Oryzias latipes: one gene and its partner. The protein of the gene in region 1 binds, or shares a complex with, the protein of each later gene. Links are inferred from orthologs where the notes say so. Each region holds a gene or a part of one and is shown on either strand. Other genes may lie near its edges.

Region 1 (4,183 bases):
AGCAACAACTTTCTGGGTTCATTTGGTTGAAACGCTTGCCTGTATAGCAAAAATGTGATGTGATTTAAGAACAAACCTTATATTTCAAAAGGGCCAAAGATCCCAGCGGGCCAGTAAGTATTCTAAGTGGACTTGAGTTTAAAAAAAAAACTCGTTTCTCACAGTGTTAACACCTTATTGGTCATATTTTCTTCAAAAACTGTGTGTGGATCTACAGAAGTACTTTCTCTTTGTCTGTACTCTGATCATTTTTAGGTAAATGGGTTTGTGTGTAAACGCACAGCAACATACTTTTCTGGTAATAGATATTTGTCTTAAAGAAATATTTTAGACACATTAAGGTTTTGGTTTAAAGTATAGAAACAAAAAGCATGGACCAGCTTTTCATCAGGGCTAATCAATGAAAGATTGCCATGGCAACAGGAGCAATGCTTTGAAATGCAGCTTACACAATGACATAGGAATGTGGTTCTTAAGACTTGAAAAAGTGTCACACATATCAGTGATACACAAATGTGTTCTCACAGAGACGGCAGGGATCCGCAGGTTGGGCCCCAGCATGTTGTTGAGGTGTGGGAAGGTACTCCAGGCCACATAGTCCCCTTGAGTGCCGGTGGCTGCAACCATCAGAGTCTGGTACTGAAACCTCACAACCGGCTGTTCTTCATACGTGCTTCGCTTTAACCAGAAACCTGAAATTGAAAAAACAAAACTATAAGGTTTTAGGAACTTTTTGACGTTGAGATTTCTTCTAATTCTATGTTACCATCAAACCAAAAACCAAACATAAAATAGCATAAGATTTCTATTAGAATCCTTCAGCCAAACTTCCCACAATCTCCTATAGAATTTGCTTCATTTTTTTTTTTTGGAATGGAATTTGCTTCTTGACAAGGTTTGTCATGCAGAAAACATGTCCATCTGATGTACCCAGAATTCAACAACTTTTCTGACTTTTCCATGGCATTTTTTACATTTGAACCCATTTTTAAAAATTACAGAAGACGTTTTAAAAGCATAATTCATCATTTACCAAATATGTTCGAATAATTCAGTTCAAAATAGCAGCATTTTTGTCACATTTGTTCCACAGCATTAATAAGGGCATTTTTGAATGGTAATATGGGTTACTGTTGTATTACAAGCAAAGGCACTAATGTGCAATGAAAGCCAGCATGAAAATAACACAACGTAAATTCTGTTCCTGTAATGGATTTGAAACATTCAAATCAAATAAAACTTTATTTATAGAGCAGTTTTTCCAACTTGAGTTACTTAAAGTGTTTTACATAAAAACATAATCCAATTTTAAAAAACCAAAAGCAAGACAAAAAATATGTATACAATGCATAAAATGCCCCCCGCCGCACACACACATGCACGCACACATGCACGCACACTATAGTAGTGCATCAAATGATTCACTAAAATGATGCAAAGTAGAAAGTAGAAATCCGGCTTTGTGGGGAAATTATAAACCGTCCTCACAAGTGAGCCCCACCCAAGTTCACAGAATACACTACAGGACTCCCCAGATGCAAGAACCAGACCCAGAAGATCCCACTGCAGCGATCCCCATTCACTGAAAAGGCTCGGCCACCTATTTGGAAGAAAATTGTAAACATGTCAAAAAAAAAAAAGTTTGGTAAAATTTAATAGGTGTGGGATTATAAATTCACTTCTTTCCCACCCAATTAATCAAACTCTATTTAAAAAACATAATATTTTATGGATTCAATGTATTGCACACGTGTGTACTGTATGAATAGGTGTAGATATACCTATTTATGATACATTGTAATGTCAAGTGTATAAAAACATTTTCTGTCATTTTATTTTTCTCAAACCAGTTTAGGAACTAATATTTTAAAATGATACTATATATACATACACACATATATATATGTATATATTTTGTTTTATTTTAGAGCTGAAAGCTGCATGAAATCCATCAATCAAATCAAAACACATCCAACAGATTTAAGGCTAATCTTTCAACAGACACAAATGGATTTAGTCATTTTGAAAACAACTCATATCTAGACTTAAAGCAAAAGTTGTAAAAACTTGGGTTATTTAATATAAAAGCTTATTCATATGCATTCAAAGAGAATAGTTGTTGTCTAAATCAAATAAATCTGAGTAAAAATGGAATGAAATATTGCTGAAATGTTATTAATTTGTTATTTTTACTGGACTAATAAAACTTTATTTAAAAGGCCCTGGCTTTACTCATAGGCTTTGTAACGTGTAAAGTAATATAGATAATAAAAATCCTTTTTTTATATTCTAGCATAAACAAAGACTTTAACAAAAACATAATATATTCTTTTGTTCAAAATGAAATAAATGGACACTTTAAAGCCTCGATATATATACTGTACCTTGACTCCTATAAGCAACAAGCAGAGGTGGGATGTAGGTTAGGCACAAAACAACAACCAGGAACAGCGTAGCCTTTGTGCAAACACTGGTTTTGTACCGAATTACAGCCGGATGAGAGTACACTTCGTAGAAAGCCATACGTTCGGTGTAAAGACAGCTAGCTGTAAGGCTACAGCTGGAGATGCTAACCTAGTAGCGGACTAAATGATTACCGGCGTAAAAATGTCGATACTACCTAAACTGGTCGTTAAGAAACTCCAAAAAATCTTCCTCTGGATTCTAAACGCCAGTAAATTCATATTTTTCTGATAACTTTTCGCGTTGAAATGCTATTTTGCTAGCCCCTGCAACATGTAAGGAAACGAGCCCCCCGCCATATTTCTGCAGCGTCCCTCGGTTTCCATGGCTACCATGGTTCAGGATGCATTCATGAACTGTGGGGAATGCTGAAACTCTTCTGTGGTCCTGAAATTAAGTAAAAGCACAAAAGTAGTTATTTCATTTCATGCCTGGAAAATTCCCATATATTATTATCTTTTTACGTTGTTATGGGAACTATTAATTTTAAATAAAAGCTCAAATAAAAGCATTAAAATTTTTTATACAATTGTGTTTCTAATAATAAATGCCCATGACCGTTCTAAGGCATTTCAATGTATCATTTTTGTTTCATTGTTTATTCAGTCTGACTGTATTAATTTTGTATTTCTTTGGTGTTGTTTTCATTAAACTAGAAGGATATTAATGTAGAAACTAGATATTAATGCGTGTCTGTCAACAGCCCCAACTACAAGGATTTTTTTGGACCGAGCACTGCTGGGCGCACTTGAACGCACCAGGAGCACCAACAGCCAGACGGTGACGTCACCTCTCCGCGAGACGGACAGCTGAGCAACAGAAGCTCTTTGTTGACGTTTTGTTTTGGTCGCTTTGGGCAGGATTTCTGCAAGTTTGAACCCCCAACAGGGTTAGCTGATCGTGAAGCCCGCCTTTCGCCCCTGCCGTCACGCATCAGTGCGGGAATCCAGCAAAGATGAAATGGATGTTTAAAGAGGACCATTCCCTCGGTAAAAAGGGTTTGGGTTGTTGTTATGAAACCAGAGAGAGATGTCCTCTTTTCATGTCGCGTGTTTTTCCTTTTTGCTCCGCGGACTGTGTGTCCTTCGATGTGGCTCCACCACCCATCACAGACACACTAACGCGGGGTTTTCGCAGGAGCCTGCCGGAAATCGATCCTGCTTAGCTTGGCATGATCATGCTAACACGCATTTGCTGCAGGTTGTTTAGGATCACCTCAAGAGAAACGCCATTTAAAGCATTGCATCATCATCTAGTATTGCTTTAATTTCAATATTTTGCATGCATTACTTAAAAAAGTATGGTGGATTAAAAAAAAACAACCTTTTTTTTAATCTATTTTTACTGTTTTTTTCTATTAGGCCTAGTTTGTGTTATATAAGATCCTTCTGTGAAGTTTTGTCTTGTCATTCTCATGGTAATTGGATAACCTTGAGGACTCTTTTTTTTTTAAAGAAGCACCTCTGAAGATAGAACTTTTATCTGGGCTAATGAACCTAGATGGAGTCCTCCCCTCACTCACTCACTCCTCCCATCCTCCCTGCACATCCATGTGTCTGAAATGAATTTGCATGAAGATGTTGTACTATTCCTCTGAAACAGAGGATCATGAGTGGGAAACATACACTTCCCCCATCTTGTGTTGTGCTTGTTCAAGGCTGAAGACAGGAAATCCCCAGAGGACGCACTGATCCCTTTAATCTCTGACTTCCTGTTTGTT
Region 2 (3,866 bases), on another chromosome or scaffold:
TTTCCAGAACCAAATGCAGGGCCTGATTCTGTTTATCACAACTGCAATGGTTTGTCCGCAGCTGCATGCAGAAAAGCAGAAGGGAGGGATCATTACGTCAAAAAACCTTTCTTTTTTAGCCTATATTACAAAATTGACAAAGTCTTTTGGATAAGAGGTGAAACGTTTTCTAACTTTAAAAACTAAGAGGACAGCCCCTAAACTTACTACTATGATGGAATCAACCTGGATGAAAGAGAGTCTTCATAGACATAATTCTTCTATATTACAACATGTCTCACTACATTAATAATTTAGGAAAGGATTTTTCCTCCCTAAATCAATTTTAAATACTGTTTCTTTTTTTTGATAGCTGCACAAAAATGAAGTTACTGTTTCATGTTTTGTAACCTTGCGGTTCTGGATACTCTTGTCGCCCGACTTTAATTTATCTTCTGGCTCAGTTTGGTTAATATTTCTCTGACAATTAAGTCACCAAATGAGGATAAAGATAGATACAATGAGAGAAATAAGACTTATTTAAAAAAGTATAAATGTATTTTGGATTTAGCGTTGAAAAGCTTTACATGAGAAACAAATACACTACTGACAACAAAAAACTTGGTTTACATTTTAAACTTTTGCTAACTCTCCAACTTATTCAAAACAAACAACATAGTATAATTATTTTTTGTAATTACATAGTTCAAAATATATTTACAAAGATTGAAAAAAAAAACATTCTTTCTGGATCTATTGATGCCTGCTGAAGAAATTCTAACAATGTTGGCCCCTTTTTAAGGTGATCTAATAACTGAATTTCTGCAGCTACTGTCTTGTAGCAACAAATGGAAGCGTTCATCCATTCAATCTGAATCAACTCCTCTTCATAACGGCTTCTTCTTCAGTCCAAAAACCGCAATAAACAGAAGAATCTCCACAAAAGCTGGCAAGACACTGAAAGATGAGAAATAGAAAAAGAAATTAATAGAAATCCAGAAAGATAAAAGAACAATCCTTAAATGCATTCAAATTCCTTCAAAATAAGAGTGACTGTTACAGTATGCTGTCTTTCTAAAAGCCAACTATTCATTGAAAACAAGCATGCAGGCGAACCAACCTGCAGGTGGCAAAAATCACCCAGTAAGTCCAGCATTCCCATTGTTCAAACACAAAGAAAGACAAAGATACGGATGCGGAGCAGTGGACAGCTAATGCTGAAAGGAGCAGCTGTCAGGGAAAACTTTGGGGAAAAAAGGATAAAACGGATTTGCTAGGCGTCAAAAGACTAACCTGCAAATAGCAAAGATCCACCAGTAGATGTCACACTCCCACTGCTCAAACAGAAAAAAGAGCAAAGCCACAGAGGCACTGGCATGGACTCCTGTTGCTATAGCAGACAAGTTCTTAGTTACGGAATTGTAACTAATGACTAATAAGCATTGTTTAATCCATTCATTTATTCTTGTAAATCATGTTTTCTGCTATAAACCAGATGCTCATTTAGAAGCTAGAGCTGCTGGAGAAAAGACAATATCTGAAAATCTTTATTTTCCTCACAATTGTGAATCAATAGTTCAGTATCAATGACCATGACAAATATGAATCATCACTGTCAGTATAAAGGATACACAGAAGACCCTGGCTGGAACTGAACATGGAGACTCCTGAAAAGAAGCCTGCTAGCTCGATAGCAAACAGACCAAGAGTGGCTGACAAGGCTACAACCAACCTGAACAATAACCAAAGGGATGCGGGTTAGAATGTGAGCATTCAAGATTTTTTCATATATTTTCAATCATTTGTTACTTACTTTCTGTCTTCTGTGTCATACTGCTCCTGAGTAAACTCCAAAGGCAAACATGCCTTCACATTATTCTCCTAGAAAACAGAAACAAATACATAAAATAGCCGATTATGGTAACATTTCTAGATAAAAAATTGTTTATAAAAAAAAGGAGAAATAAACTTTTTGCAGCAAACAAAAATCTATATTTCTGCAGTTTAGGAAAAATATTTTGTGGAGTAGAATTTATTTCTATTTCACGATTTTTTTAAAAACTTTTGTTCTTTATTTTAAAATCACAAACTACACGTTATTGATATTTACAAAAAACAATAATAATATTAATAATAATAATAAAAAATATTTCTATGGCAGCTTGAGTCGTCCTTCAAGCTTTAACAACAACACGGACTGTCCTTACTTACCCTGGACCAAAAGATTGTGATGACGATGACAAGGTGAGCTATGATGGTGAGAAACCGCGCAGGAATTAGACTGCTAATAGAAGACATGTTGTTTCTGGTTCACAGAAGTGTCAGAAATGCTAGAAAATTCTAAATTTTAAAGCCAAACGGTCACGTTGGAGTTCACAGATCTCACACAACAGTCGTCGCTCCTGGTTCGCGGTATATCAACGCAACCGCGGTTCAATAAATAATCCAAAAATGATAATCAAGCATTTTTAAAGCCAATGAACTTATAAAATTAAAATTTTACTCTTTAATAGTCTTTTTTCTAAACAAAATTATACATAGAAATTTAACACACCCCGGTGTCGCATTGGGTTGCTACAACAGCCAGTGGCTGGGTGCATCCAATATTGCGACCCGTAAAAACATCCACCTTCCAAACGTTCCGGACACAAAAGGGAAGTGGATGCGACCCATCGCCTTTGTTGTTAAGCAGCACACAACACTAGCATCTAACGACAACACACACACAAAAATAAAACATGACAAAGTTAACGTGTGATTGTAGGATGAACATAGCCTCGCGTATCTAAAGAACGTAGAAAAGCCGATTTTTTTTTGTTTTTATTTTCTAAAAGAATGTTTTTTAAACGCTCCCCGATAAAGCTAACATTTTGGGGCAAAACGCCCCCACCCCCCTCCACCAGTTTCAGCAACCATTCCATTCGCATTTGGATAGACGACAGAGATTGAGCAGCACACCTCAAGCACAGCTATCTGTGCACGTCAGGGCCTAGTGTTTGCTACAAAACAGCCGGGGATTATTTTTCACACCCACTTAATAATCGTTTTAAACGAAACATTTTTTCTTTGGAAGCGTGCACATCAGAACAACAGAGCATGGCAGAAGAGGACTTCCAAACCTTTACCTCTGTCATGGACGCGCTGGTTCGTATCAGTGTAAGTGTGCGACGCCGGTTTATTCTAATATAGCCATTTCAAACGTGCTACATCTAAGAGAGGAAAAACAATAATGTAGTCTTACATATAACTTGCTTTATTGATAGTATGTTGATCTGGACAATCATGGCTATGAAATAAGAATGCGGAGCATTTTTCTACCGTTTACAAACATGTTTTGTCATCGCTTTAATAACCCGGAATAGGCTGAAAGCCACAGTCAGGTGGTGAATGGCAATAGAAAATATACAGTCGCAACGACCACATAATTCATTTTTAATAGATATAAGAACCTAAGAATGTTGCCAAATAGCATAAAATCAGGGCCAGAGGAAGATGTGCGTTGTCATAGAAACCGGATGCCGCGCCTTGTGGCTGCAGTAATGGAAAGGGGCCACCACAACCTAAAAAAAAAAGAAGCAACAATCAATGGCAAACAGAATGTTTCTGCATTGTTTGAATTGTTTTTTTTTATTAAAAATAATGTCTCAGCCAATTTACTCTTAGAAATAGGAAGCAGTGAAGCAATCACAGGAGGACTGCTAAGCATCATGGAGGTTACGTTCTTCTTTCCTTCTTGTCCTGTGCAATAAACGGCACACAACCAGAGTTCATCTAGATATTTCCTTCATCACTGCCATCATTTCCTTTCTTTAAATCAAGTCGCAGCTCTGTTGTCTTCTTGAACTTTCCTCTTCCCTCTTCTCCAGTCCAACATGAAGATGATGGAA

Evidence for each region. Proteins that work in one complex are often made in the same cells at the same time.
Region 2: tmem231 (region 1) and tmem107 share a complex: the UniProt entries of both Homo sapiens proteins name them as parts of the tectonic-like complex. The link is inferred for Oryzias latipes from reciprocal best matches to the Homo sapiens genes TMEM231 and TMEM107.

What each region holds. Positions count from the first base shown.
Region 1 is NC_019864.2:27,557,099-27,561,281, reverse strand, and holds the start of tmem231 (transmembrane protein 231), read right to left. Parts: upstream 2,803-4,183; 5' UTR 2,524-2,802; coding exon 2,385-2,523; intron 693-2,384; coding exon 526-692; intron 1-525. Other genes in the region: gamma-aminobutyric acid receptor-associated protein-like 2, read left to right, coding at 3,419-3,452. UniProt on the Homo sapiens protein: Transmembrane component of the tectonic-like complex, a complex localized at the transition zone of primary cilia and acting as a barrier that prevents diffusion of transmembrane proteins between the cilia and plasma membranes.
Region 2 is NC_019874.2:18,549,824-18,553,689, reverse strand, and holds tmem107 (transmembrane protein 107), read right to left. Parts: upstream 2,585-3,866; 5' UTR 2,278-2,584; coding exon 2,191-2,277; intron 1,861-2,190; coding exon 1,793-1,860; intron 1,712-1,792; coding exon 1,611-1,711; intron 1,370-1,610; coding exon of another isoform or gene 1,273-1,369; intron 1,197-1,272; coding exon 1,100-1,196; intron 937-1,099; coding exon 867-936; 3' UTR 515-866; downstream 1-514. Other genes in the region: tripartite motif-containing protein 46, read left to right, coding at 3,076-3,135, 3,846-3,866. UniProt on the Homo sapiens protein: Plays a role in cilia formation and embryonic patterning. Requires for normal Sonic hedgehog (Shh) signaling in the neural tube and acts in combination with GLI2 and GLI3 to pattern ventral and intermediate neuronal cell types.